4 linked regions of the Tamandua tetradactyla genome follow. The protein of the gene in region 1 interacts with the protein of each later gene in a pairwise test. Links are inferred from orthologs where the notes say so. Each region holds a gene or a part of one and is shown on either strand. Other genes may lie near its edges. The genes, in order: EMD, LUZP4, CEP70 and BYSL.

What was found.
Region 2: the proteins of EMD (region 1) and LUZP4 interact in binary tests that used the Homo sapiens proteins (3 or more experiments, as listed by UniProt). The two-hybrid records come from large-scale screens. The link is inferred for Tamandua tetradactyla from reciprocal best matches to the Homo sapiens genes EMD and LUZP4.
Region 3: the proteins of EMD (region 1) and CEP70 interact in binary tests that used the Homo sapiens proteins (3 or more experiments, as listed by UniProt). The two-hybrid records come from large-scale screens. The link is inferred for Tamandua tetradactyla from reciprocal best matches to the Homo sapiens genes EMD and CEP70.
Region 4: the proteins of EMD (region 1) and BYSL interact in binary tests that used the Homo sapiens proteins (3 or more experiments, as listed by UniProt). The two-hybrid records come from large-scale screens. The link is inferred for Tamandua tetradactyla from reciprocal best matches to the Homo sapiens genes EMD and BYSL.

Annotation. Positions count from the first base shown.
Region 1 is NC_135353.1:6,569,375-6,575,825, forward strand, and holds EMD (emerin), read right to left. Parts: upstream 2,518-6,451; 5' UTR 2,356-2,517; coding exon 2,274-2,355; intron 2,184-2,273; coding exon 2,073-2,183; intron 1,896-2,072; coding exon 1,818-1,895; intron 1,586-1,817; coding exon 1,452-1,585; intron 1,087-1,451; coding exon 1,037-1,086; intron 927-1,036; coding exon 593-926; 3' UTR 519-592; downstream 1-518. UniProt on the Homo sapiens protein: Stabilizes and promotes the formation of a nuclear actin cortical network. Stimulates actin polymerization in vitro by binding and stabilizing the pointed end of growing filaments. Inhibits beta-catenin activity by preventing its accumulation in the nucleus.
Region 2 is NC_135353.1:53,552,807-53,560,181, forward strand, and holds the start of LUZP4 (leucine zipper protein 4), read right to left. Parts: upstream 3,023-7,375; 5' UTR 2,995-3,022; coding exon 2,904-2,994; intron 1-2,903. UniProt on the Homo sapiens protein: Export adapter involved in mRNA nuclear export in cancer cells. Binds and enhances the RNA-binding activity of the nuclear RNA export factor NXF1. Can restore mRNA export function in cells compromised by loss of mRNA export adapters.
Region 3 is NC_135341.1:82,637,425-82,645,334, forward strand, and holds the start of CEP70 (centrosomal protein of 70 kDa), read right to left. Parts: upstream 3,014-7,910; 5' UTR 2,933-3,013; intron 1,019-2,932; exon of another isoform or gene 909-1,018; intron 1-908.
Region 4 is NC_135331.1:99,516,764-99,524,338, reverse strand, and holds the start of BYSL (bystin), read right to left. Parts: upstream 3,016-7,575; 5' UTR 2,667-3,015; coding exon 2,402-2,666; intron 1-2,401. Other genes in the region: MED20 (mediator of RNA polymerase II transcription subunit 20), read left to right, coding at 3,219-3,232, 5,723-5,877. UniProt on the Homo sapiens protein: Required for processing of 20S pre-rRNA precursor and biogenesis of 40S ribosomal subunits. May be required for trophinin-dependent regulation of cell adhesion during implantation of human embryos.

The sequences.
Region 1 (6,451 bases):
CAAACAAACAGACATAGCCATGGGTAGCATCTGATCCCTTTGCCCAACGACAAAAGCAAGACAGCAAAGCCAAGAAAGGCAGATACGGAGCCTTCAGACCCCAGATCCAGACACCCTGTGCCCTGGGAATCCCGACACATTGCCGACCCACTCCCCCAAGCAGGAAAAGCCAATGCCTTCAAAATAAACGGTCTTTTTATTGTGTGTCCACGAAAACAAAGTTGGGGTGGCCTCTGGTGACTCCTCCACAGTGGTGACATGAACAGGACGCATGCATGAAAACAACAGCTATGTGCTCCTTGGAAGGAACAGCGGCAGGTCCTGCCAGGGCCCCACAGGTTCAAGGCAAACAGGGCCAGGAGACCCCGCTGGGCCCAGCAAGTGAGGAAGGCCTGAGCCTGCCACCTCCCCAGCAGGATGAGGCAGAAGGGGGAGGGGACCAAAGCACTGATCTGGGCCAGGCCTAGCTCCCCAAAAGATAGAAACACACAGGTAAGCTCCCACCCCCCACCCCCACCCCCACCCCCACCAAAACACTGCTAAGGCAGTTGAGCCAGGTCTTCTGAGAAGAGCTGGCCAGGAAACCAGGCCCTCAGGGCTCCATCCAAAAGGGGTTGCCCTCTTCGGCCTGCATTGAGTAGTAAACGAACACCAGGAAGGCAGCAAAGACCAAGAAAAGGAGCAGCTGGCCCCAAAGCGGGACCTGGCGCTCCTGCCCCAACCCTGCCCCAGGGGCCTGCTTTTCGGGCCGGATGGCCCGGCGGGTCAGCCACGAAGGTGGGGAAGAGGAGGAAGAGGAGGCTGAGGAGGTGGAGGAGGATGTAGGGTAATAGGACGGGCCCAGGGAGTTCCTGCCCATGTTCGAAAGCGGGCGGTAGTGCGCGATGCTCTGGTACGCGCTGTCCCGGGCGTACGAGGGGCACTCCCTGAGGCAGAGAGGGGCACAGGTAAGCCAGGCTGGACCCGGCCCAGGATTGGCTCCCGCCCCTGCCCCCTGCGCCCAGCCTTCCCTCCTGGGGCGCTCCCCGCTGCTCACCTCTCCTTGCTCTCCTCTTCAGAAGAGGAGAAATGGTTGTCATCCTGCACCTGGAAGAGATAGTCAAGGTGAGGGGCAGAGCTGGCCAGCCTGCTCTAACCGCTGCTTCAAGGTTAAGGGCCCTAAGCCCTCCAAGACCTCTCTGGGCTTTGCCACTTGCTCAGTGACTGTCCTGGCTGCCTCTGTTCCCCAGGACTGAGAACCAGCTCAAACCCAGAGCCCAGACCAGGGTGCAGGTGTGCACTGGCTGGGGCGGGGTCTGGTCCACCAGTGTCAACACCCCTGCCCCCACCCCCCAACCAGGGCACTGCTTGGCCCCCACTCCTCCTGGGACGCCAGGGAACTGGGAAGGAGCCCCCCATGTCCACCCCCTGACCCCATGGCTTTATCCAGTTCTGCCCAAGTTCTGGCTCACCTGTTGGTGAAAGGTGTCGGCATCCTGGAGTGAGGTTCGGGGCTCCCGGAAGCCCTCGGATGTGCCCCCGGAACTAGACTCCCCATAAGTCTCGGTACTCAGGTAACTCTCCTCATAGTAGTCGTCGTTGTAGCCTTGAGGAGAGGCAGGGGGTGGGTAGCACAGGCTCCGTCAGTAGCCCCCCCATCCGGCTGGTGGCCCTCACCTGAATTCTGCACTTTGGGGGTGACACTAATCTCTCCCCTCCAGGGCCGGGTGGGAACTGAGATCTCAGGCCCTCCTAAGACCAGAGTCCACGGCAGAGTGGGGCGAGGGTCTCAGGGTGCCCCCTCCCCAGCACCCCCCCAGCACCCCTCCCTGCCTTACCCTTGCTCTGGTACAGCAAGTCATCCTCTTTCTTGGGCAGGTCGTACATATCCGAGTCCACCGAGGCTGAATCCAGGTCTGGGGACCGAGGGGGCAGGGACCGAGGGGACATCTGAGCTCAGGTCTCCCCGCCCCCAGGCGCAGGTGGCCCTCCTGGCCCGGACCCTGGCTTCCCGGCCGCCCCAGCCGGGTCCCCTCCGGTGGCAAGGGGCCCTGGGTGGTCTGGGATTGGGGGGAGGGGAGGAAAGGGCTCACCCGAGAAGCGATACGAGAACGACGAGGAGGAGGAGGAGTTCGGGGGCGAGAGTCGGCGCCTCTGGGTTTCGTACTCGAAGATTTTCTTCTCGTAGAGCTTGCGGGTGGAGCCTGGGCACAGACAGAGCCCGGGGCGCGTCAGTGGCACAGGGAGGCCACCCTCCCGCCCGCAGCCCGCCCGCCCGCCCGCAGGCAGCGTACCCACGATGGGCCCGTGCGGGATGTTGTACTGGCGCAGCACGGCCACCAGCTCGGCGTCCGACAGAACCGCGTAGTCGTCCATGGCGAGGCCGGCCCTGGGCCTCGGGCGGGCGGCGGCGACGGCGGCGGAGGCCTGGGAGGCAGGCCGGGCTGGGGGACGCGGACTGGCAACGGTAGCCTGGGAGCGCGGCGACGGGTGCGAGGCAACCGCTCGACCACGTCACGACCGCGTCTCCGCGGCCCAGGCCTGCGCGCTGCCGGGTGGGGGGCGGGGGGTCGGGAGCGAGGCGCGGGGGCGCAGCCGGCGCAGACCGGTCTGGAAGTGGGGGCGGGCGGCGCCGGGGCGGGAGAGCCGGGCCCGAACGTGAGAGCGGGCGGGGCCGGCAGGCGGTGACTTCACAAACGAGAGGGTACGGGCTGCGCGCGGGAGGGGGCGGGGCCTGCGTGGGCGCCGAAGCGGCGCGTTCGGACCTGGACGTGGGGGCGGGGCGGGGCTGAGGAGCGCAGACGTCACTAGCTGGTATGTTCGGGCTAGAAGCGGAAGTGGGGCGGGGCCTCCGCGGGAGCCGAAACCCCGCCGACCGGCCGGGACGTGGGAGTGGGGCGGGGCTGGCGAGCCAAGACGTCACACCCTGGCGTGCCCGGGCTAGACGTGGGAGAGGGGCGGGGCCTGCGCGGGAACCAGAGCGGTGCAGGCCAGGGTGTATCAGGGAGGGCGGTGCGACTGCGCGCCCGAGGGAGGGGCGGAGCCTGCGAACAAAGACGTCACACGCTGGTGTGTACGGGCAGACATGGGAGCGGGGCGGGGCGTGCTCGGGAGCCCAACCGGCGGAAACCGGTCAGGCTAGCGGGGCAGGGCGGCGCGCTGGAAGTGGCTCGTGCGCCCTGAGTCACGTGGGCAGAGGCGCCTCAGTCCCTCCGCCCTGGTCACTGTCCCCTTCCCCAGGCTTCGGGATAAAGGGGCTCCTCAGGCCCGGAGATACTTGGAGAGCCCCGGCTCCGGGCAGGGCTTGTTCCCGGGCGCTCTGCACGCGGCAAGCGAGGGAAGCCACCGCCAGCTAGGGCCGCGACTCTAAGGCCCGCCACCTCCTAGACCCCTGTCCCCTCCCTGGCCCACGCACCTGTGCCCGTCCCGCACTCACCACCTCCCTCCCGCCTGCGCTCGCAGGAAAGGGGGCACTGGGCCAGGAGGCCGCAGGCATTCCAGGGACAACCAGCCTTCCAAGGGGCCCGGGCCGGCTAGCACTCACTGGCACGGGACGCTGACATGACGCGTGCTGGGACAGCGTGTGCCCGCCACCCCACCTGCCGGCCTTCCCCGAGGGAGGGGGGGGCTTCCTCTCCTGTGGGAATGGCCCTTGAGCTGAGTGGGACAGAGGTGGCCTAGCAGGGCCCCCCGCGGAGGGGGTTGGCTCTCGAGTCAGATGGACCTGTCAGAGGGGTCTGAGCCCGCTGCAGGGACAATGGCAGGACGGGTGGCCAAAGGAGGGGTGTGGATGGCGTGCAAACCGCAGAAGCCTGCCGAGGCCTGCTGAGGTTACACGGAGTGTGGCTGGGAGGAGATAAAGACCTTGCTCGGAAAGAGACTGTCCGCTGGAGTGTGGGGAGGGGCTGGCAGTCCTCTTCTAAACAAAGCCGGCCTAATGGGGTGTGGGGCAAACTGGGGTGCACCCCGGGGAGCCCGGAGAGAAGAGTCACCTGCCCTACTGGATGACCCGTCTTGGCTGCAGATAAAGAGGGAGGGCTCCAGGCAGACCCAGGCTGGTCTGCCCAGCCGTGGGGGCCACAGACTGGTTCTGGATGGAGGTTTACCCAGTGGGGGTGGGGACTGAACCACAGACAGAGACCCTTCTGAAGAGTCACCGTGGCCCAGGGTTGAAAAGACAAGGTCCGTCCTGGCCCTGCCCTGTCTCCTGCTGCATGGAGGGGAGGCAAGCGGGTCTGTGACAACACCGTTCTCTGCAGAAGGAGGAGATGCTAGCCCTAGAACAGGGGGCCTGCTCCTGATCCCTCAGCAGAGCAGAGGAGGGGAGGGTGATCTGGGCTCCAGGCTGGGCATAGTTTCGTGTTTTGGCAAGATCAGATGCCCCAGCACCTCCGAGAACCTTCTTTTGCAATGCTGGCCCCTCTCCCAGAGGCCCGCGTGTACAGAGCCGTTCTGGCCGCTCTGTCCTCCCCCCCTCGCCGCCCCTCCCCACGCGGATCCAAGCTGTTTCCTTTTGCGGTCAAGGAATTCTAGGTTTGCCTTCTCCCCAAGGAACACAGTCCCCCATCCCACCCCCGGCACCTGCCCCAGCACTCTTTTGTGCCCCCTCCCCATAAGGTCTCACCGCAGATGACTCCAGGAGGCTGAACTGTGGGCGGTCCCCCTGTGCCCACCCAGTGGGCACCTGGAGCCCACGTCCAGTCCCATTGCCAGTGCAGCTCCACCCCAGACCACCAGTAACTAGGTGAAGCCTTGACCATCAGAGTTAACAGGCCCTCTGCAACATCCCCCACCCCCACACTATATAGTGGAGAATCAGGGGCCCAGAGAGGGGAAGAGACTTTCACTCTTGAAAGTTATAGGCAATGAAACATATCTACTGGAATACATTTCTCAGCATCCATGTACAGGGAGGCAGTCATTCATTGAGCTATAAACAATGTTTTCTTTAAAATCAGAATGTTGTTCAACATGAAAAGAGACGAGCCTTAACTTTTCTCTTCAGGCTATTCAAGATCCTTTGGGTTTTAGCTGCTTTTCGAATCCCTTGACACATCGCTCAGATGGTGTACGAAGTCATGCGATGAGGATTGTGGTGAAAAATAATGCGTCGATGATTGTCACAATCGCTATAAAACTTTGAATGGAGAGCTGCCCATTCAAAGCATTGTGTCTGGGCCCTAGGACGCATCAGCTCATCTTAATGCTCTGGGGATGGCTGGGTGGAGAGGCAGCTTGCCCTGGCGGTTAGGAATGGTGATTCGGGTGCTTTCCCTGTCTCTTCCACGCCATGGCTTTCATTGATTATGATCTTCACCAGGGAACAGCTAGTGCTGTACAACCCATTCCACCCAGACTTGGAACAGGTCGAGATGCCGAAGAGCTGCATGTGTTTGCAGTGTGGGCTTGGGGAAGGGGGTGTGAGTGTAAAGAGGGAGTTCCAGTGGAGGTGGGAGTCTGGAGACTCCACAGAGCCACCCCTGCGCCCCTTCCAGCAATGGCACTCCTAGCCTGGTTGGCACCTGCTTTTGGCCTGTGGGTGTCCCTCCCCAATGGACTGACACGGCCATGAGTCCCAGTAGCCCCCTTCTGGACCTGGGGATCTCTGAGCTCATCTTCACTCCTAGTGAAGTTGCCCCACTGCCATGACCCCACCCCAGCCCGGGCACTGTGGGTCCAGCTGCAAAAGAAAAGTCTTATTTTCTGAAAATGTGTTTCAGTTCTTTAGTGTGTGCGCGCGCTGGTTCAGGATGTAAAACGGAATCCTTATGGGATGGTGGGCGATGTGGTAAAAAGACAGCGCTTTATGTGGACTTCCTAAGAGAAAGTGGCGTTTGATGTGGAACCGCACCTTGGAGGCAATGGGCATGGAGAAAAGGAAGGTGTGGCAGGTCTGTGCCCGCCCAGCTCACGGACCCTTGGCTCTTGGCTGCACCCTCCTGCGCTCTCCCAAGCTCTGGGACTGTGTCTAACGGGCCCTCTGCAGGAGGGGACTGCTGAGAAGTCCGTGGGTTTCCGCTGCACGCCCCTAGGTCAGCCTGGCACCCAACAGGGGTCAAGCACATGGTGGCTGTTAAGACTGCCCCCTCCATTCAGCTCTGCCCCAGGCCTTTCATCTAGTAGATGCTCAGTGGACACCTGCCCCTGCCTTTGACCTACCCCGTCCCCTACTTCTTCCCTCCCAGGGCAACAGAAACCGATTTGCTTTCCCAGCCCGGGCTGGAGCAGAGGATGGTGGGTGCAGAGGGCCCTGACTCTGGGGAGTGGGGGTGGGCTTCCTGGAGGAGGTGGCCTTGGAGCTGGGCCTTTCTGCCTGGGGAGCCCTTGGCTCCCCCAAACGCAGCAAGCCGATGTCTAAAGGGCTGGGCTGAGACGTGGGCCCTGCAGACCCCGCGGGAGCTCGAAGCAAGCACCCACCCCCACCCCCCCTCCCCCAGCGCTGGCGGCCCTAGCCGGGTGGTGAGCTCATCCC
Region 2 (7,375 bases), about 47 Mb from region 1:
CATTGCCTTCTCAGCTCCGCCCCATTTCTAATGTCCCAGCATTGCCTTCTCAGCTCCGCCCCATTTCTAATGTCCCAGCATTGCCGTCTCAGCTCCGCCCCATTTCTAATGTCCCAGCATTACCTTCTCAGCTCCGCCCCATTTCTAATGTCCCAGCATTACCTTCTCAGCTCCGCCCCATTTCTAATGTCCCAGCATTACCGTCTCAGCTCCGCCCCATTTCTAATGTCCCAGCATTACCGTCTCAGCTCCGCCCCATTTCTAATGTCCCAGCATTACCTTCTCAGCTCCGCCCCATTTCTAATGTCCCAGCATTGCCTTCTCAGCTCCGCCCCATTTCTAATGTCCCAGCATTGCCGTCTCAGCTCCGCCCCATTTCTAATGTCCCAGCATTGCCGTCTCAGCTCCGCCGCATTTCTAATGTCCCAGCATTGCCTTGTCAGCTCCGCCCCATTTCTAATGTCCCAGCATTGCCGTCTCAGCGCCGCCCCATTTCTAATGTCCCAGCATTGCCGTCTCAGCTCCGCCCCATTTCTAATGTCCCAGCATTGCCGTCTCAGCTCCGCCGCATTTCTAATGTCCCAGCATTGCCTTGTCAGCTCCGCCCCATTTCTAATGTCCCAGCATTGCCGTCTCAGCGCCGCCCCATTTCTAATGTCCCAGCATTGCCGTCTCAGCTCCGCCCCATTTCTAATGTCCCAGCATTGCCGTCTCAGCTCCGCCCCATTTCTAATGTCCCAGCATTGCCTTGTCAGCTCCGCCCCATTTCTAATGTCCCAGCATTGCCTTGTCAGCTCCGCCCCATTTCTAATGTCCCAGCATTGCCTTCTCAGCGCCGCCCCATTTCTAATGTCCCAGCATTGCCTTGTCAGCGCCGCCCCATTTCTAATGTCCCAGCATTGCCTTGTCAGCTCCGCCCCATTTCTAATGTCCCAGCATTGCCTTGTCAGCGCCGCCCCATTTCTAATGTCCCAGCATTGCCTTGTCAGCTCCGCCCCATTTCTAATGTCCCAGCATTGCCTTGTCAGCTCCGCCCCATTTCTAATGTCCCAGCATTGCCTTGTCAGCTCCGCCCCATTTCTAATGTCCCAGCATTGCCTTGTCAGCTCCGCCCCATTTCTAATGTCCCAGCATTGCCTTGTCAGCTCCGCCCCATTTCTAATGTCCCAGCATTGCCGTCTCAGCTCCGCCCCATTTCTAATGTCCCAGCATTGCCTTCTCAGCTCCGCCCCATTTCTAATGTCCCAGCATTGCCTTCTCAGCTCCGCCCCATTTCTAATGTCCCAGCATTGCCGTCTCAGCTCCGCCCCATTTCTAATGTCCCAGCATTACCTTCTCAGCTCCGCCCCATTTCTAATGTCCCAGCATTACCTTCTCAGCTCCGCCCCATTTCTAATGTCCCAGCATTACCGTCTCAGCTCCGCCCCATTTCTAATGTCCCAGCATTACCGTCTCAGCTCCGCCCCATTTCTAATGTCCCAGCATTACCTTCTCAGCTCCGCCCCATTTCTAATGTCCCAGCATTACCTTCTCAGCTCCGCCCCATTTCTAATGTCCCAGCATTACCGTCTCAGCTCCGCCCCATTTCTAATGTCCCAGCATTACCTTCTCAGCTCCGCCCCATTTCTAATGTCCCAGCATTACCTTCTCAGCTCCGCCCCATTTCTAATGTCCCAGCATTACCTTCTCAGCTCCGCCCCATTTCTAATGTCCCAGCATTACCGTCTCAGCTCCACCCCATTTCTAATGGACACACTTCCTGTTCATCGCCACGTGCTCTGCTCCCCCCTCCATTTCTAAGCTCTGCCCTTGTCGTTTTCGTACCTCAACACGTTCATTTCTCTGGTATACTATCACTGCTTTCCAAACTCTTCTCATTTCTAAGGTTCACCCTTCCTGCTTTTCCTTCCCTCACGACTCTGCTCCAGCCCCTCTCACGTCTAAAGTCCCTTTTGCTCTTGCCCCTCAATTCTAGTTTCTTCTTCCCCGTTCTGCTCCCTCCCCTCCCTCATTTATCTACTGTCCCTACATCCTGGGCACACATTTCTGAGCTGGCATGAGAGAAAGGCGATATTGGCTCAAGTAAAAAATATATATATATACATTTTCTGAGTGTGGTGCGAGTTGTGGGGGTTAGGGACCTTGTGTGACTTTTTTTCTTTTTTTTTTTTCTTTCTTTCTTTCTTTCTTTATTATTATTATTATTATTTTTGCTAAGGACCCACTATTGGTATAGAAGTCTGAGGTAAAACATTAAAGGGCTCTAGCAAAGACAGGTCCAGACGGAATAACTGACAGAAAACACACTACTTCGCCTGTAGTCTGCAAGCATGCTACTCTCAGGATCACTGGAGATCCCCGCAAACTAACCTCTCCTCCTGTTCCTAATCTAGATATTTATAATTTATGCTTTGACTGAGAAGAACAGAGCTTGTGACCCCGCTTGTCTGAAGAGGGCGGGAAGTTCGGTATCAATTCTTGAGAGAATTTATATATATATATATATATATATATTTTTTTAAACATGGGCAGGCACCGGGAATCGAACCCGGGTCCTCTGGCATCACAGGCAAGCATTCCTACCTGCTGAGAGACCATGGCCCGCCCAAGCTAATACATTTTGAAACGACCGTCTCATTATTCTCCCCACTGCCCTCTCCGCAGTCCCCTGCAGGTGCATGGAAAATAGCTGCTGAGAGGAGAGACCGGGGGTCGAGGTGGCCCGGGGTTTAGCTAGGACTGGCGGGGGAATGCAGACGCAAAAGCTCCTCAGCCAACGCAAAAGCCTTTCAGTTAGCGTGTGTGCCCCTCGTGGCGACACTTCTAGCCCGCCCTATGCTGAGGTATACCGCTCAAGGGCGGCAAGCCTAGATTAACACAGTGGGGCTTTAGGATCTACTTACCTAGAGACATATCTAGAAAGTTCATCTTCTTCCCAGTTTTGGGATCTATCAGCACCTTTCCAGAAAGTTTTCCGCTCGAAAACGAAGCCATCTCCTCAGGACAACTGCCCCACGCCCGAAGCTAGGGCTTACTTAGCGCCCCCTAACTGCTCCCAAGGTTTTTATCCAGGCTTTCCCCCAATCACAATCCTCGCTCTTTACTGTTGCTATGGCCCCAAGGGGTGGAGCTAGGCATATACCATTTACGGGTTCTCCTGTCCGGAAGTTGGCACTCCAGTAAAACAAACAAACAAACAAATAAATAAAAAGACCCACCTATCTCTTTTTCATCCTTTATAAAACTTTCTCTTCTCATGTACAAGCACCTCTCAGCCAGCCACAAGTTTGTTTTTTTCTGGATATGTTGACCCTAAATTTCCATAGTTCTTAGAAGGAACCATTTCTTCTCTTTGCTTTTGCCATTCCTGGAGCATAAACCACTATGTTGTTGACTTACTGGGTTGCATCGCACACTGGAAGGGCTAACACAAATTTAGCAAATAGGTTACATCCACAGGCGGGCCACGGTGGCTCAGCAGGCAAGAATGTTTGCCTGCCATGCAAGAGGACCCGGGTTCAATTCCCGGTGCCTGCCTATATATTATTAAAAAAAAAAAAAAAAAAAAAACCAACATTTTTTTAATTTGTGAAATATAACATATATGTAAGAAATCAATCAATTTCCAAGTACGTTTTAACCAGTAGTTATAGTACAGATTTTATGGTTTGGTATGTGTTACCATTCCATGATTTTTCTTTCTTTTTTTTTCTTCTAGCTGCTCTGAGACACTGGAGACCAACATAAATATCAAAATAATGATTCCGCAGTCATACTGATTTGTTAAATCCTATTCTCTGGGTAATACCCCTCTTTCTCTTTAAATAACATATATACATAAAAGAAATAAATTTCAAAGTACATTGCAACAACTAGTAGAACAGATTTCAGATTTTGGCATAGATTACAATTTCACAGTTTAAGGTTTTTATTTCTAGCTGTTCTAAGGTATTGGAGGCTAAAAGAAATATCAGCATGATGATTCAGCACTCATATGTTAAACCTGACCTTCTCTGTATGACTCCACCATCATCTTTGATCCTTCTCCCACTCTTTGGGGGTATTTGGGCCATTCCTATTCTAACTTTTTCATGTTGGAAGGGGCTGTTGATAATATGGAATAGGGGGATATAACAAGTTGGTGTTCTGGAAAGGCTGGCCTCTCTGCATTTCAGGACTTAACCATATGTGTATATTTTAAATTGTGTTTTTTGTTATTGTGAAATATAACATATATACAAAAAAGCGGTAACTTTCCGAGTACATTTTAACAGGTAGTCATAGAACAGATTTTAAGGTATGGTATGGGTTACAGTTCCATGATTTTTCTTTTTTCTTCTAGCTTTTCAAGACACTGGAGACCAACAGAAATATCAATATAATGATTCAGCAGTCACACTCATTTGTTAAATCCTATCTTCTCTGTTATACTCCTCCTTCTCTTTAAATAACATATATACATTGAAGCAATAAATTTGAAAGTACATCACAACTATTAATTGTAGAACAAATTTCAGAGCTTGGTATGGGTTTACAATTACACGATTTTAGGTTTTTATCTCTAGTTGCTCTAAGGTACTAGAGCATCATACTCATTTGTTATACCTGACCTTCTCTGTGTAACTCCACACCACCTCTGATCTTTCTATAACTCTTTAGGGGTATTTGGACTATACCATTCTAACGTTTTCATGCTAGAAGGAGCTGTCAGTACTATGTGATAGGGGGATGGAACTAGTTGATGTTCTGGAAAGTCTGGTCCCTCTGCATTTCAGGACTTATTTGGTCCAGGGACCCTTCTGGAGGTTGTAGGCTTTGGAGAGTTACCCTAGTGCATGGAACCTTTGTAGGATCTTATGTAATGCTCTAGGTATTCTTTAAGATTGGCAGGAATGGTTTTGTTGGGGTTTGACAAGTTACAATAGGTAGCAATGTCTAACTGAAGCATATGTCAGAGTGATGTTCAGTGTAGCCTCTCGACTCTATCTGAACTCTCTCAGCCACTGTTACCTTATTTGTTACACTTCTTTTCCCCCTTTTGGTCACGATGGCATTGTTGATCCAATGGTGCCCAGACCAGTGTGCCACAAGATTTTAATGACTTCCCTTAACATGTGTCCATGGCATTTCTTAAGAAAAATGGAATTGTTCTGATTATCATGTCAATACTGCTCAATATATATTATTTTAAAATGTTAGAGGAATCCTATGGTTGTCATTGGTCTGTCAGAGGAAATAACAATCAAAATAGGATGAATGTGCTGGTGTGAGACATTCCAGGGTTTCATTACCCCACAGAATCTAAGAATAACTAGCAAAAACTGGCAAAGCCATCTTCCTCAGATTTCTGGAAAACATTTAAAGAGTTGCTGTAACTTGGAAAGCACCTAATTAAAAAAAAAAAAGACAAGAAAATCAGTAGGAAAAACTTCTGGTGCCCTTGCTAGGCCCTCACTTCTCCCCAGCTAAGTGGAGAGCTGCCTTCTCTCAGTTAGGTCCCTGGTCCTGATCTTAAGGGAGCAGAGTAATCCCTATGTGCATACTGGGGTTCCATATGTCTATGCCTGTTTAGCTCGTGGCAGCATGGGGACTGACGCTAAAGCAAGGCACTCATCTCTGGCCTGCAATCCCAGAACTTGCCCTGCATGCAGAAGCAGCTTATAGACAGCGAAATCTGTGTAAAAAATAATCCAAAGAAAAATAAAATTACTATTTTCTGGGAAAAAGATTTTCAGCTTTAAGGCATACAACAGAAACCCGGGGCTTGGAAAGTCCATTTAATAGCAATAAGAAGGCGCATTAAGATACCTGTAAATAGGGGAAGTCCTAAGACTACCAGCACATACCCCAGGCAAGAAATAAACACAGAAGAATCAAGACAGGACCCTGTACTTTCCCCTGCAGCTTATTACCAGGTTAATTGGTAGGAGAATTAAGCAGGAAAGGAGAGCACCAGCCCAAATCAAGCCAATTTGCAAAACTCTAAAAGGTTTTTTTGTATTTGATTTTTTTGCTTTTGTTAGTTTCTGGCATTCAAGGAAATCTCTGTCATATCATTAGCTGGAATACACTTAAGGATAAATAGCTCAGAAAATAAATTTCAGAGTAACACATTAACATATTAAAGTGAACTGTATGTGAAAAGATCACAAGGCACAAAAAGAAGCAGGAAATGGAAGCTCATTAAAAGAAACAAGATGACATATCAGAACCCATTAACACAGAATGACAGGCTTTTAGCCATAACAGAAACACATTTTAAAAAATGATCTTAACTATGTGGGACATGACACCCAGGGATGAAAGTCTCCCTGGCAGAGTGGGAGGTGACTCCCAGGGATGAGTCCAGCCTTGGCACTGTGGAATCAACAATTCCATCCTGACCAAAAGGAGGAAAAGAAATGTAACTAATAAGGAACCAGTGGCAGAGAGAGTTGAAATAGAGTTGAGAGTATACTCTGGAGGTTGCTCTTAAACAAGCTTTAGTTAGACCTTGCTACCTATCATAACCTGCCAAACTCCACCCAGGACCATTCCAGCCAATCCTAAAGAACACCTAGGGCAATATATAAGATTCCAAAAGGGTTCCATGCACTAGAGGAACTTTGCAGAAACCTACAACCTCCAGATGGGTCGCTTGTCCAGATATGTCCTGAAACTTAGCCCAGCCTCTCCAGAACATCAGATAGTTCCATCTGCCTAGCCCATATTACTGACAGACCCTTTCAATGTGAAAAAGTTAGAATGGGCATATTCCCAAACACCACTAAAGAGAGGAATAGAGAGATCAAAGGTGATGCTAGAGTTATACAGAGAAGTTAGGATTTAATAAATGAATATGACTGCTAAATCATTAAGTTGATATCTCTTTGAGTTTCCAATATTTTAGAGCAGCTAGAAGTAAAAAGCTTAAATTGTGGAATTGTAACCCATATCAAACTCTGAAATATGTATTAAAACTAATTATTGTGTTATGCTTTGAAAGTTATTGCTTTTTTGTATATATGTTATTTTTCACAAAAAAGAAAAAAAGCAATTGTGATGATAAAAAAATATTTATTCCTTCTAGCCTCCTATATTATGGAACAGCTAGAAGGAAAAATCTGAGAGGATCATATGGTAACCCATGATAAACTCTGGGATTCATCCTGTAATAACTCGTTGAAGAGTGCTTTGAAAAGTATTGCTTTTTTCTTTCTTTGTTTTGTATATATATTATATTATACAATAAAAAATGTAAAAAAAAGTGGTCCTAAATATTATCAAGCAACTGAAGGAAAACATAGGCCAAGAAATAAATGAATTCAGGAAAACAAAGATGAACACAAAGAGAATATCAATAAAGAGATAGAAATCTTGAAAAGGAATCAAGCAA
Region 3 (7,910 bases), on another chromosome or scaffold:
ATTTTTTTGGTATCTTTAATGTTTCTCAGAATAAAATAAAGACGATTTAAAAAAATAGTTTTGTTCAATTGGAACATGAGTCTGAATTGTCCTCCTTACAAATCCCACTTTCAAGATAACAGATCAAAATCTGGTCTCTCCTGGTGTTGTCCAGGTTTTCGTGTCTGAAGCTCCACATTGAGGCCTGGCTGTGCTGCTGCTTTACTTTCTGTTTGTGTAGACTGAGCAGGGACTCCCTGTACTCAGGACGATGTCTGAGCAGCAGCAGCCCGGCCAGCAGCAGGAGACCACAGTTTCTGGCGCTGGTTCTGACACGCGACCCTCTGAGGCTGGCCCAGCAGCCAGAATATCTGGGTCCTGGGTTGGTTTCTAAAGCACTGATCCTCCTCCTTTAACACATGCCCAGTAGTTATGCTGGACCAGGACTGGAAGGGCCCATGGAAAAATTTATAGGTAAAGATGTATGCAACTTTTCTTTTTGGGGGGGTATCCATTAATGCTGAGAAGTTAGTTCAGAAAATCTGTCACTGCATTAACCATTTCTTTTACAAAAGGAGGCCCAGTGAAAACAAGGGCAACTGTGAGTGAAAGTGTTTTTTCAGCTGCCCTCTTAAATTAGCGGTGTCCTAAGGGCAAGCTGGGGGGGCACCATGTATGAGGTTCGAGTAGCATCTTCCTGGGGAACAAAAAAGCACAATCAGAGAGTAAGAATAAAGTCAAATGCAGGATTAGCCTAAATGAATAAATTTCTTATTCAAGTTCAAAACTTTCACAGTGGTTTTGTTCAGGCTTTCTTTCCATTACAGTTGTGACAGGTAGCCAGTGACTGTTCCTAATTCAGATGTCCTCAGCCCAGAGAATGAGTAGGGGAAAACTCAGCCAAAAGTGGTATGTTCCTCCAATTCCAGGTATCCCAGAAACCAAACCCAAAGAGGAAACAGTGGCACAAAACAAACCCGCTGAGGACTCACAGCCTGCCTTTCTGACTGTTGGTGCAGACTCAGGTGCACCTACACAGGTAAGCTGAACTCTCCTGCACTCCACAGACTAGTATTTTTCTTCCAGTGCAATAAATACTTAACTAATAACAGGCCCTGTAAACCTGAACTTTTCAAATCCCATAGGCCTGGTCCTGAAACTTGTGAAGGGCTTTGGGGGTGCTCTGTAAAATGGGGGTAAACATATTAGAGGGCTGTTGTGAAAATTAGAAACAATGATATACAAGGCACATATATCAAGCGCTTAATGCACCTATAGGTCTTATAAAAGACACCCAGATTCATGGGGTGCATGGGTGGTTCAGCTGTAAAATGCTTGCCTTCCAGGTGGGAGACCCTGGTTCAAATCCCGGACCATACGGTCCCACCCCCATCCCAAAAAAAGATACCCAGATTCCTCAGGTTTTATAAGAAAATATGACCCTTCATTAAACAATATCTGAGCTGGTCAGTGACCAGGGTTTCCTAGTCTTAGCCCAACGACTCAGGGTTGTTTCTCAGAAGAGTTAATGATTAGGAAAAGAGAAATTAGAAATATGTCTTCGGCAGCCTTGATCCATCTCTGGAAATTTCCACTCTGTGATCTTTTTATCTTTCCCCCCAATTCATTCTTTAAACAATCATTTCTTGAAAATTCTCTATTCAAAGAGAAAATACAAATATGAAAAGTTTTAGTCCTCAGTCATTAATACAGGGTAGCAAAGGAGAAATCAGCGCTGGCCAAGTAGAATCCCTATAAAAATTTGCTTAAGAATTTAGTCATTACTTTGCAAACTGGCTAATCGAACCAATTGGTGGATCCCTCCTGTCACTCAACTCCCCCTTCTCTCACCTATTTGCTTGGCACCTATATAAACCACATCCACCATGACAGTCCCAAAGGTGAAACAATCCTCTCCATTAACCTCAGGCTGTGAGAACTTACAATGGGGCCCTGCGACCACAAGCCCCCCAGATGGCTGGACCTTCAGAATCCCTTCATGCATGTCCAGTCGCATGCTGGACCCACTCTCCACAGGGCCCACTCCAAATCTCCACTGCTCCTTTCTGGTGGCCCACTCAACAACTCTCCTCACCCTCTACAAGTGACACTGTCTCCTTATTAAAATGAAAATCAGGGCCACCTAAAACCTCACCCAGGCCTGCTGTTCATTCATGCAGCAAGTATTTAGCAGAGCCTACCATGACCCTCCCCTGTGCAGGTGGGGGCAACCACGTGTGAGAGCCAAGCAGCCATGCTCTCTATCCTCATCGACGCCACTGTCTATCATTAAGTCACACATTAAGCAGAAATTACACAAACAGGTATACCCTGAAAGGGACTAGGAAGAATTCCAAGTACTGCAAGTTTTAGGGGCTGGGATAGATTTTCTTAAGAAATTACATCTTTAGAGGAATCGCAACAAAATGGAAGTTAAGCGGGGAAAGAGACGGGGAGGAGCGTCCCGGCAGAGTGAAGAGCAGCTGCGGAGACCCTGGGGTGACAAGGATGGAGCAGCTTTTGAGGATCTTTAGAAGCCACGTGGGCATGAGCTAGCTCGCACAAGTCCACCTTAAGTAGTTTCGGCTTTTAAACTGAAGAAACAACAGGGGTCCATAAAAAGGTTTTAAGGAGCGAATTCCATCCAGGATCGGGTTTCCCTGCCTTAAAGGGAAACCTGACAGCCCTGGCGGGTCTGTTTTGCCCCAGAGGCAGCCCAGGGTCCCGCTCAGGCCTGGCACACGGCTGGCTCCTGCACTACCTGTTGGCAGGCCGACTGGATTCGCTGCGGACCCGGGCCCTGTTTGGGTTGGGGACTGGAGAAGGGCCTGTGCCGGGAGGGCGAAGCCGGGGGTGGGGGCGCGGGCGGTCGCGCGGGGCGGAGGGGGCGGTCTGCGCTGCGCGTCCCGGGGGACCTGGAGCGCGACAAACGGTCGGCGCCTTTGGGACTCACCGTCCGCCGAGCTTTCGGCCTGGGCGCGCGCTGCGTCTAGTGCTCGGCGAGGGAGGAGGCCGCGCGGCCCAAGCGGCGCTGTCGGACCCACCGCGGTGCTCGGCGCAGCCCACGGCGTCAGGTGAGCCGGGCGGGGAGCGGGCCCCAGACCCGGGCGGGTCCGCTGCGGCGGCGGCCAGGGCCCGGCGGCGGGCGGGTATCCCGGAGCAGCAGGCGTCGTCCACGCGGGGGCCGGCGAGCCCCTGCCGGAGAGGCGCGGGCCGCGTGGAGTGTCCGGGCGCCCTGGGTCAGCCCCGCCGAGGCCCCGGGCGCCCCCGGCTGCCCGCTCCCTGGGGGCGGAGGCGCGGCGAGGCCGGCCCTGCCCGAGTGGCCCTGCCCGGGGCCGGCCCAGCCTCTGGCCTCTTAGCTCAGACTTTGATGCTTGTCGCCGTGAAAGAGTGGAGCGGACAGCTCAGGGGACAAGCTCCGCGGCGGAACTCCTGCTTCCCCGCGGCGACGCGGTAGACCTTAAGGGGCTTTTCCTTGCAGCGCGTTTTCCCCGTCAGCTGAGCAGTTTGTTCTTGCAGAACCTGGGTGGCTTCTCTCACCGCTGCATGGCGCACGGCCACCCTGGTGTGACTGCTCTCCGCACCCTTTCACGGGGGTGCTGCTGGGCGCTCGTGGGGGCCAGCTGGACGCCGCGGCCCGCCCGGGGCCGTCGGGTTTGTGGAGGGACTGGCCCGCGGCCTCCCTAATGGAGTCGCTGAGGGTGAACGAACAGGTGTTTTTCCATTTTCAGCTATTAAAAAAAAGGAAAAGAAAAGCAGTTCGTTGAGCACTGTTCCCTGCTTTTTGTTTAATTTATAGCATGATTATTTATTTAGAATGACTCCGTCATAAATCTTAAGGCGTACATTGCAAAATGGCCCTAAGAAAAAAATATTCCCGGATCTGCACATCTGGTAGCATTTGGGAATACCTGGTCCAAGGAGCTTGCGGCCGGCTTGGTTGGAGGGCCTTAGTTTTCTCAGAATGAAAAATCACTGAGCATCCCCTCGTGACTAACTGGCCTTACCCGGAGCTGTTCCTGAAAAGGGAACTGAACATTTTTATCAGTGACTTTTTTTTTTAACTGCCTTAGGTTTATCTTGGACAAACCACTGCAGCCCCAGTACAGTTAAACCTAAGTCAAGGTAAAATTCAGGGTAGGGTGGATAAGCAGTGGAAACGGCTCAGTGGTTGAAATGCTGCTCCAAAACAGGGGTATTGGGTTATGCAGGAAAGGGATTTTTTAAAATTATGCAGATGGGTAAGTAGACATTGAAAAAGCTTTCTTTGAAGACATATGAAAAGTTTCAAGTAACATCTTCCCCATCAGTGAAAGCAATTTGTTTTTCCATCCTCTTCATATATGTTTTTAAATCTGTTTCCTAAAATAGAGGGGGAAATTGTGGTTTATAATTTTCCTATTTGGTCACATACCTGAAAATTAAGCATATGAATACGAGCTAAAAAATGATAGTGGATTAATCCATTTCCCCTAGTTTTAAACCAAAGCCTACCCTGGCTGTCCTGCAGGTTTGGCTGGAATAGAACCTTCTGTAGGCTCCTTCTTGTGATCCTCCGTTGGTTTCCCAGAGCCTGCGTCTGTTTCCTCTGAGCTCCGTGCCTAGGACATAAATGTCCAATAACTATCACTATGCTGGATGAATTTAAAATATGACCTGTGCTTTTAAATCGGATTTGTAACTCACAACTCTTTGTGCAACTTTTAATAGGTATTTCTCAATATTCATATGACTATAGTAGAAATCAAGGACAAGGAGAGTTGTGATCATCCCTTCCCTATAGGTATAATAATCACATTCAGCAAACTTCAGGGCAGGGCATCTGGTCCTTGTGGTGACTGAAAACTAATTGAAGCGAATACATTCGTTAGGGACAGAGGCTTATTTTCAAATCACTGACAGCACCTAGTATAGTGTTTTTTAATAGTGGGCTCAAATAAATGTTTGTTGACTGGGAAAAACTGAATACTGGATATTTACTGTAAGGAAACTGGTTGTGAAAGTACACCTCCCTTGAGTAAATAGGCAGAGCATAGCTGCTCCTTCAAATCATACAAAACCGTTTTTTAAAGGGTGTGGTTGGTTGGCTTTGCAGTGCTTTCAGGACACTAAGTAGGCATTTAGTAACTATTTTTGAATGAGTGGATTATATTTTGCTCAGGTAGATAGTTATTCATGTATTGATTCATGCAGGCCATCCAGAGAAGTTGCCAGTTATAGAGGATTTAAGGTACCTTTTTTTCTGAAGACACTCTCAAAAATGAAAACTCAGTAGATGGCTCAAAGTATTTTAAAATCTAAGTAAATATTGATCTCTGTGCTTTAGTGCCTGTTGAGGTTTTGGAATAATTATTCATATTCATATTATTCACATTTACTTTGTTTCAGACCTTTAGCCTAAATCTCAATTTTATCTCAAGTTTCACTAAAAGACTCACCGCATTCTTTTATATGCATTTGATGCTGACCAATGATTTTTAATTTTCCCCCTCATTTGAGTAGCCAAAAAACACATCAGTCTTTTAATCATTTACCTTTATGGCTATTAAGAATGTGTTGTACATGGGCTCCCCTACTTATGATCCAGTGGAGCAATTCCAAGTAAATTTAAAAGTGCTCAGTATTTTAGAGGATATATATACAGTTTGAAATGAAATATGTGAAGTGACAGAGGTCACAAAACCAGCAAAACTTCTGCAATAAGAGAGAAGACCAAAAGCAAAAGGCAGAGTTCATTTTGTACATTTTCCCCATACAATTAATGAAATTTATTGGTAGGGGATATTCGGATATTCTTTATGGTGAGATTATGTGGACATTTTTTTTGCTCCATACACATTATTGGGACCTCAACAGCCTTGTTAGGGAGCTGGATAAATAGTAAAAGCTAGGTCTCTGTGGTTGGGGGTGACATTTGGAGGGATGTCTTATTACTTTGATTTTCCCATAATGAGGGAGCGGGCTGGGAGTAGATGATCTCATAGAGTTTTTTTTTTTTTTTCTTGTAAAGCTGAAAATTGTGTAACTAATATTTTGATTGTGGCTGTTGTAAAATAGTGCTCACTTTAATCCTTGTATAGAAATCACTTTTTTTCAGCCAATCTCTGCCCTTGAAATGGTACAAAATTTGGAGCATTGCTGCCTTTTAGTGATTTTTTTTTTTTGCATGGGCTGGTACCGGGAATCAAACCCAGGTCTCCGGCATGGCAGGCGAGAACCCTGCCACTGAGCCACCACTGCTTGCCCATGACTGCTGCCTTTTATAAGCCAAATATGCTATTAAGGTTCTCAGGAATAATTATGAAAATATTTTAGTCTTTTTCTTAAAATAGCAGATAACATGAACAAGAAAAATTGAAATATTACTGGCTACATTAAAGCAACCTTTTCTTATTTAAATGGGTCTATAGAAAAACAAGCAAGGAGAGTAACATAATTGTGTAATTTTCCTGTGAATGTGTGTGTAAGAAGAACATTGCTTTTGATATATACAGTATTCTAAGCAGCGTTGGATTCCACCAACCTTTCCTCTGACCATTGCATGTAGTTCTCACCTATAGTGTCCACTAGCAATTATTGGAAAATGAAAAATTACTATCTTTTAGATAAATAACTTCAATATGTTGATAGTTTAGGGAAAACTTTTTTTAAAAATGTGTTCTTGATTTCTAATCTTACTTCCAATTTGATTGCATGTTATCTTTTATACATCTATATGAAAAGTTATTATAATTAGGATGGTACCATGCCATATCTTAGTGTGATTTAGTAATATTTGAAGTGTCTTATAGTGGAAAGCTGGGCAATTCTTTTAGGTTTGTATGCCGCATCACTGAACTTTCTAGTGTCTTTGAAAGTTGTAGAGGAAAACTTGAATGATATCTCCAAGCCTACTTTGATTTACAAAGGATGCCTTATCAAAATTTACATTAATTTGCTTGGCTTACTCTATTGCTATATATTCTCCTTGCTTTTATCATTATAGGACACCCTCCACTTTTCGTAGAGATATGTAGGGTTTCTTAAAACTAGATAAATCCACAAATTTGTACCATGGTAATAAGAAAAAGAGGGATTTATTTTAGGTACAGTGTTTTTAATCTACCTCATGTTCTTTTAAAAATTCTTAGCCTTTCTATGCCTTTTAAATTGCTGCTTCTTTAATATGTTTTTAACAACTGGTTGCTTCTAGCAGTTTCCAACCAAAGACAATTTGCATAATCTCATTTTTAACCAAGAGATTCCTTGGGCAACTTTTGCAAGGCGCTTAAGGAGAGAGCTGGGCTAGGGGCAGACCTGGGAAGCAAAGAAGAGTTGAACCTATTGTAGGGGTGGAACTGTTAATCCCAAATCTTCAAACATGGAAGGTTTCTTGTCCACATATGTGTGTGCATCTGATTTTAGCAAAACACAATTAGCACTGCAATTCAATTACTGTTTAGTTAATTGCACATGAATATTGGGCTCCAGTTCTGTCCTGGGCCTTGCTAGCCACATAACTTGTAGATTCATTATTGGCACCGGTAATTAAGTGGATTGCATGGGCCTATGCCTTTCACACTCAGAAAGTGAACTAGCATATCCCTGGCTGTTACCTGCAAACTCAACGTTTCTTCCAAGTTATCTTTAAAAAAGGAAAAAATTTAAAATATATTCCACCATAATATAGCCTTCTAAAATTAAAATAATGATTGAATTTTAAATTGGTTACCATTGTGTAACATTGATGCTTCCAGAAGATGCATCATGTTTATCTTTATCTTGGAGTTTTATGTATTCCCTGACCTGCTGCCTCATACCCTTGGGGCCTCTTGAACCTCCATTTGAGAAACTTGGGACCAAGAGGATCTCTTAGGTCTCTTCCAGCTCCCGTTTGCTATAATACTTGAAATGAACTCTAGACAGATTTAAGAAATAAATCCATAGTGGAA
Region 4 (7,575 bases), on another chromosome or scaffold:
TGAATGAAGCTGCATGTGGAAATGATAGAGGGAGGAGGGCTGGGGACATAAATGAAATCAGAAAGAAAGATAGATGTTAAAGATTGAGATAGTATAATCTAGGAATGCCTAGAGTGTATAACAATAGTGAAATGTACAATGTACAAATTTTAAAAATGTTTTTGCATGAGGAAGAATAAAGGAATGTCATTATTGCAGGGTGCTGAAAATAGATGGTAATTAATATTTTAAAATGTCACTTTACGTGTGAGACTAAAGCAAAAAATGTTTATTTGTTACAAAATTTATATCTTGACTAGAGCATTTCCTAATATAACTTATGTAGATAGTTTGATTGAACGTCATAAGTACTTGGAATCTCAGGTAGGATGTGAGATTTTGTTGGTTTGTCCAGAGTGATGCCCCGATGAATCCCAGAGTGATTTGATCAGTGAGTGGAAAAGTATTTTCAAGCCCCCTTCGGGGAATGGTGAGAGCAGGGAGAAATTCAACCTCCCCAAGTCGAATTTTTGATCTTCTCACAAGCAGTGTGGACAACCAAAGCTGTAGCCTGAGCCCCCAGTCTTGGGGTTTGTTCATATGAAACTTAACCCCACACAAAGGATAGGTCAAGTCTACTTAAAATTTAGGCCTAAGAGTCACCCCCAAGAGAGCCTCTTTTGTTGCTCAGATGTGGCCTCTCCCTCCAGCCAACATGACGAGCAGTCTCACCACCCTCCCCCTCTCTGCGTGGGACATGAATCCCAGGGGTGTGGACCTTCCTGGCAACGTGGGACTGATTCGATTGTGTTAGGTAGTGGCAAGAAATAGGGCTACAATGGTAAATTGAAGCCAGACTGTGGAGAGTCTTAAGAGGTGAGGCAGTGGAGTTATTTCAATCCAACAACCAATTTGAGTAACTGATTTTTTGAAGACTAGAGGTTGGTGGGCATCTGGGAGGAGGGGTACTAATCCAATCGAGGAGAGAAAATACTACATAGGAACAGATCATTAAGAACAGAGCATTGTGTGATGAAAGAACTAAAATTAGGGTGGGGGGAGGGGGAATACACAAATATTTTGTTCTCACATGTCAACAACTTCCAAATCCATACTTTCTTCTTAGATCCAGATGCTAACTCCAGGCTTCTCCTGTACCCTCCTTAGATGACCCAGGCACTTCATCTGTCACCAAGTGAACTCATTCTTTTCCCCAAGACTGCACCACTTACTGTGGTGACTACCTCCCAGCCCTGCCTTGTCCATATTCTCAGCCTGCAAACCCAATCAATTACGAAGTCCTATTCGATTCTACCTCATGGAGTATCTCTCAAATCCTTCACAGCCCTTTCTAAACCTAGACCAGCATCATTTCTTGCTAGATTCATTCACCAATCCCTTAACTAGTCTCCATGCTACTGACCTTGCTTTCTTTCAACAAATTCTCTACTCTACAGCCAATCTAAACTTCTGGAACCACACATTTGGTCTGATCAATGTTAGATAGCTTTAAATCTTGGTATGGCCTCCAGGTCTACAAAAGCTCCTATGTACCTCACCATCCTTCTTTAATCAATTCATTCAGCAAACATTGATGCCTCCTATATGTAGGGCACTGTTCAGGATACTGGGAATACATCAGTGAACAAGAGAAACAAATTTCTGTCCTCGTAGAATCTCTGGTACATTTTAACTGGGGGACACAGATCATAAATAAACATAACAAATCAATACACTGGGTCAAAAGAAGACAACTGGAATGGAAAAAAAAAATGAGACAAAGGAGCGCTGCTAGGACTGTTGAAACTGGAATGTGGGTACTGGAATTTTAAATAGAGTGGTCAGAAAAGTCCTCTTTGAAAAGGTGAAGAATTAAGCAAGTAAGCCTGCAGGTGTATAGGAACTGAACATGCTAGGCAGAGAGAACAACCAGGGAAAAGGCCCTAATCTGCCAACTTCAAGGAACAATGAAGCTATATGGCTGGGTGGGGTGGAGTGGAGAGAGCAAGCGCAGAAAGTAGTAGAGAGGTCAGATTGGCTTTAGGGGAAAGGACAGTGTCAAACTTGTTCGTTTCTGTACCCAAATTATCCAAACTTCCTTATAAACACTTATGGAGCAAGTGGATAAATACCAGGACAATTTAATGGATAATGAGCGATCACATCCCGCTGGCCTAATTTTAGGGGCGCCTAGGACCCCTAGAATCTTACTGCCTAAAACTAGGAGTGGGCAGGGGTGGGTTGAGGTGGGGTTGGACCACCTTAAATCCGCTTCAGGGCTCGGTCTCCCATCCCATTACTTTCTAAAGAGCGTAATATGGGCACTTTTTTCAAAACTCCAAGCTTCTCCCCTGACGGACACCTTTCAGCCATTCATCCAAGTATCCACTCTCTCCCTCGCACCCCATTCCCGGCCGCTCACCCAGCCGCGCGGTGCGCTCCCTCGGCCCCATGGGCCTTTCCCCAGCGCCATGCTCGGCCTCCAGCTCCTCCTGCTGCTGCCTCGCTTGCTGCAAAATTCGTCGGGTCAGTCGGGGCCCCACATACTCTTCCTCTTCTCCGGTGCCGCGGCTCCGCCGCTTTTCCCGGGTCCCGGCCCGCACTGCGTCCCCAGCTAGGATCTGCTCGGCCAGGGGCGCAAGTTTTCCTTGACCCCCGGCTCCCCGGGCCGCCTTGAATTTGGGCATTTTTCTCGAAAAAGTGGCCGCGAACCTTCACACGTGGGGACAGAGGCGAGCAGCCGAGAGTGCGCTTGTGCAGTGAACTTCCAAAGCCTACCAGGCCGCGCGGAGAGCACAGCGCCCCCGAGTGATTGGAGGACAGAAATGCCGTCAGCGACACCCAACTCCACTCCCTAAAAGTTCGCACGGGCCCTGAATAAATTCAAATCCTGAATAAATTCTTTGCATTTAACGATGACTGCTGTAAGTGGTGGCAGTTCGAACCATGCTTTCCAAGCATCGCAGATCCAAGTCTGGGTATCCAGCCAAATAGGACGTCCATACTTCCAAGCCTGAAGCTGTCACTGGGCTGCGTGACGTCTCTGCATACGTCACGGTGAGAGCGCCCAAGCACGTCTCTGTACCCTCCTGGCGCATCCATGGGACGCTTTGTTTTTATATAACTTCCGGTGCCTTCTCCCTCGACCGAAGCTTACTTTTGGGGGCTTCATTTAATGTGGGCGGTCGGAGAGCACCGCGTTTCAGCTGTTTGAATCTGCCACCCTCTCATCCGACACCATGGGAGTGACTTGGTAAGACTGCACAGACCACTTGGGATTTTGTGAGACGGGTTTTGGGATCATGAAGTTGCCCTTGGAGCCTGACTGGACCGAGAGGTGTAGCGGGACCGGGGTTCTCCGACACCCTGAGGGAACTGAACAAAATGCCCCTGGGTTATATGGGTGAGGGGATCCCGCGAAGGTTGCAGGTTCTCGGGGTCTGTTTCTTCGGAGATAAGCTCCTTTCTCCTGGAAGGCAGCAGGTAAGATTTTTTTTGGGGGGGGGGGGGGCAGGTAGGAGTTTTTAATCCTAGGAGCCTATCAGTGGTTGTGTACCTCCTTTCCTTTTTTCTTCGTACATTTTCCTGCACCTTATGTTATGGTACTGCTAGGAGTACTTCAGCTTTGGGGATAGGATATCCGCACCAGGACCCGTCCGCAAGCAGGGCTGAAGAAAGTGGTGGTCAGGCAACGAGTAGAATGCCTTTTTTTTTTTTTTTTTAGGTCTCTCTTGCCCCTCCCTACAGCCACAAAAAGTGTTTGGTTCTACATTGGCCATTATATAAAATAAACTATTAGAAATTAGGAGATGGAGTTGCAGTTGCTTCACCTCTTCACAGGACCTGTTTCCTGCTATGTTAAATTACAAGGTTCTACTTTCTATGGGCTTTCTCTCTCTAACATGTTATAAGCCACAGTTGGAAGAAGGCAAGGTGATAGGGAAAGGCGTGGGTCTAATATTTTGGAGGTGTTAGTTACAAAATGTTAGGTTTCAGGACATTAAAAAAAAATGTCTTCAGGTGTGCACATCTTTCCTGTCAGAGAGAACTGGGGACTGGGATATCCGAAGTTAGTGGCTCTTGACTTCTCATATAACAACCTGTGGGAAATGCTTTTTCTTGTAACTCAGGCTCTTACAGGATTGTCTGATTGTGCCCTAGCTTCTCACGGTAGACCTTCGAGAGGATCTTCGAGTCCTCTGGTGTTAGGGAGATATGTGAGTGATGGGAATAAAAAGTTCACAGCACAGAGGCTTGAAATCCTGGAAACCCCTGGTCTTTCAAAAGAGAAAGCATCCAGAGAGAAAGGCCTTTCTATCTGTTGTGCTTTCTATCTTTTTCCAACTTTTTCAGAATCTTAGAACTTATCCTTGTAGCATTAGTTTTTAGGATCCTCTTCTGTGTAAAATTAAGTCACATCACTATTATATAACCGTGCTTTTTCTGAGAGATAGTAGTGACAATTTTTAGCGGCAGTAGGACTCTAACTTATTAGCTTCGTTTAATCGATTGATCATAAAGTAATGCATTGTCTACCAAAGTACAGGCATATGATTGTCTTCATGATTTTTGCCATAGCTAGTTACCAGCTATACTATTAGGTACTAATGTTTTCTTTTAAGTTTATTCCTTTAAATGTTATTTAACAGGCAACTACATCCTTAGAGAGAATGTCTGACCTTGGGCTCATTAGTTAACCTCTCTGTACCTCAGTTTACTCATTTGCAGCAAGGAGATAAATAATAACACCTCTTATAGGGTTGTTGTGAGGACTGGAAGAGTTAATTCATCTGAAGTCCCCATTTTAGAGTTAATTCACCTGAAGTACACTGTCTGGCACATGGTAGGTACTTGTTATCTATTACTCTAAAGGGGAAGCCAGTTTCACTCACCCTCAAGTAGAAGGAAATCTTGGAAATAACATGTTTCGTTTTCCTGCATTATTAAATTCTTGTAGATGCCACTGCCTCCCACTCCCAAAGATTATAAATTTGAACTCTGCTTTCTGTTTGTTCAAGGCTGTCAAATAGAACTTTCTGAGATGATAGAAATTTTCCATATCAACATTTTCCACTATGCACTTGTGGCTATTGATCCCCTGAAATCTGGGCAGTGCTACTGAGGAGCTGAATATTTCATTTAATTTGTTTTATTAATTTAAATAGCCAGATGTGGCTAATTGTTACTCTACTGAAGAACATAAGTTGAAAGTGTTAGAGTTAGTAAAAATGTACTAAATCGGGCTGGCCACGGTGGCTCAGCAGGCAAGGATGCTTGCCTGCCATGCCAGAGGACCCGGGTTCGATTCCTGGTGCCTGCCCATGTAAAAAAAAAAAAAAAGAAAAAAGTACTAAATCAAATTGAGACTTTCTCCTTGATATATTTAGAACTGAAAAAAATTACTAAGGGAATCTCTTGTTTTATGTGATTCAGTGTTATTGAATACTCAGCCTAACATCTCTTGCATGATGGCACAGTTAACATCAGTAGATGTTGGTGTGATGGGAAGTTCACTGTACTGGTACATGAGTCCTGAAACCTGTGCTGTAGTTCCTAGAGGAACTCTCAGAGACTGTGGGCCTCTGTTTCTTCATCTTTAAAATTAAGAGTCACGTGAGTGGAGTGGTCTCTAAAGTAACTCCTGATGACTTGTGATGCTGTGAGTGAGCAGTTGGCTTGTTGAATGGCTATACTAGTGCATGTGTGTTTCTGGATGCTAATGATTTGGTCCTTTTCCTTCCAGTGTGTCCCAGATGCCTGTGGCTGAGGGCAAGAGTGTCCAGCAGACTGTGGAGCTCCTCACCCGGAAATTGGAGATGCTTGGAGCAGAGAAACAAGGAACATTTTGTGTGGACTGTGAGACCTACCATACGGCGGCTTCCACCCTTGGCAGCCAAGGTCAGTGGGATTGCACTGTAGGATGGCTGCAACCTGGCTTGGCGTTGATGGACATTCATGTTCACTAAAGTCTTTCTGATCTAGTTGTGTTTCTGAATTCTTTAAGTTGTTGTTTCTTCATCTGTTAGACTGGAGCTATTTTGTTTTCTTTTTGGGAACTTTTAAAACATTGTTTCTTTTAAAGAATTGATCATTGACCAATTGCATCAGCATCACCTGGGTTACTTGTTCCCCAAATGAACCTTATCCACTTAAAAATTTGAAAAAGATCCCTTTTTTTAGGCTCAGAAGTCTTTATAATTTTTTCTTTTTGTACTTTCTGCCTAAAGGCTTTCTGTTTCCCTCACCTAGCCAGTGGCTTTGGCCATATTAGTGTAACATTGACATTGACCAATGAATCAGCTTTTGTCTTAAATGTATCACATTGACTGGAGTGTGGATGGTAATTGTGCTGGCAGGGAGGGAAAGAGGATCTTTGAATATGAGTTAGGGAACCTGAGTTTTCTTAGTTTTGGCCCTAGCGGTAACTTGCTAAATATATACATTCTTAGATGATTTCACAACCCGGCTACTAAAAGTAGGGTTGTGGAACCAGGCCCCTAAGTCCCAACTCTGCCACTTAATAAATGTACAACTTTAAATAAGTCCCATAACCCATCTGTGGCTGTTCCTATTCCAGTGATTTGCCTATTTCCTTGTAGATTCATTCCCTGACATCTCCTGCAGTCTAAGGCACAGGAAGAAGATTGCAGAAAGGGAGACCACAAGTATTTGCCTTCCTTTCCTTATGCTTTGGACGGTGTCCCTGGCCCTAACCATGTCTCCTTGGCTCTAGCTTCTGCTAGGTAACCCCACTTCCTGGCTAGTAACAGCACATCTTCTCATTTTCCCTGCAGCCCATAGATGGTTGTGGCTTCCTGTATTGCTGTTCTCTGGGTTGCCATACCATACTTTTTACTTTTTCGGTCCTTCCAATCCCTGTATTTTGTTCCCTATGATAAATTCCCTCTGTTGAAACTACCTATTGTGGTCTTTGTTTTTGGATCTTCCCAATATGTCTTGGATTCTTCTAATGTATAAAATGAAGACAGTTAAAGTACTTATCTCCTAGTATTATTGTAGCAATTAAATAAGTTAATATATGCAAAACACTTTCAACTGAGGTTGTCATTTAATAAATTGGAGCTGATAGCTGTACAGGCTTTCATCAGTGGTGGAATTGCAATGTTTGTTTTGCCTTCAACTGGAAATATATAAGAATCAAAAGCGATAATAGTTATGAAAGCATTTGGAAAATAAGACATTTGCTTATAGATATAAGGTGGCATACTACTTCTAGTTAATCTACCTGGTATGGCCCCTGTTTTGCTGATTGGACCCTTATTTTTAAGGAAATTACAGTCTATTTGGGGAGATAGAGGACATTTGTGGCAGGTTGTGAGATAGAATGGAAAGAGCAGTAAACATTGAGTCACAAAGTTAGAGCTCTGAAGCTTTGAAAGTCAGTAGTACCCCACGTGGGAACTGTTTGAAAAGCTGAAAAATTGATCATACTTTGAGTAGAGATATGAGTGAAGCTGATCTGGGTAGGACTAAGGTATATCAGAATACAGGGTAAAGGATGATATCATCCATATTTTAAAACTTCAACATCTGTGTGAAACTAGAGGGTGAGATGCTTAGTTGGCACAAAATTTA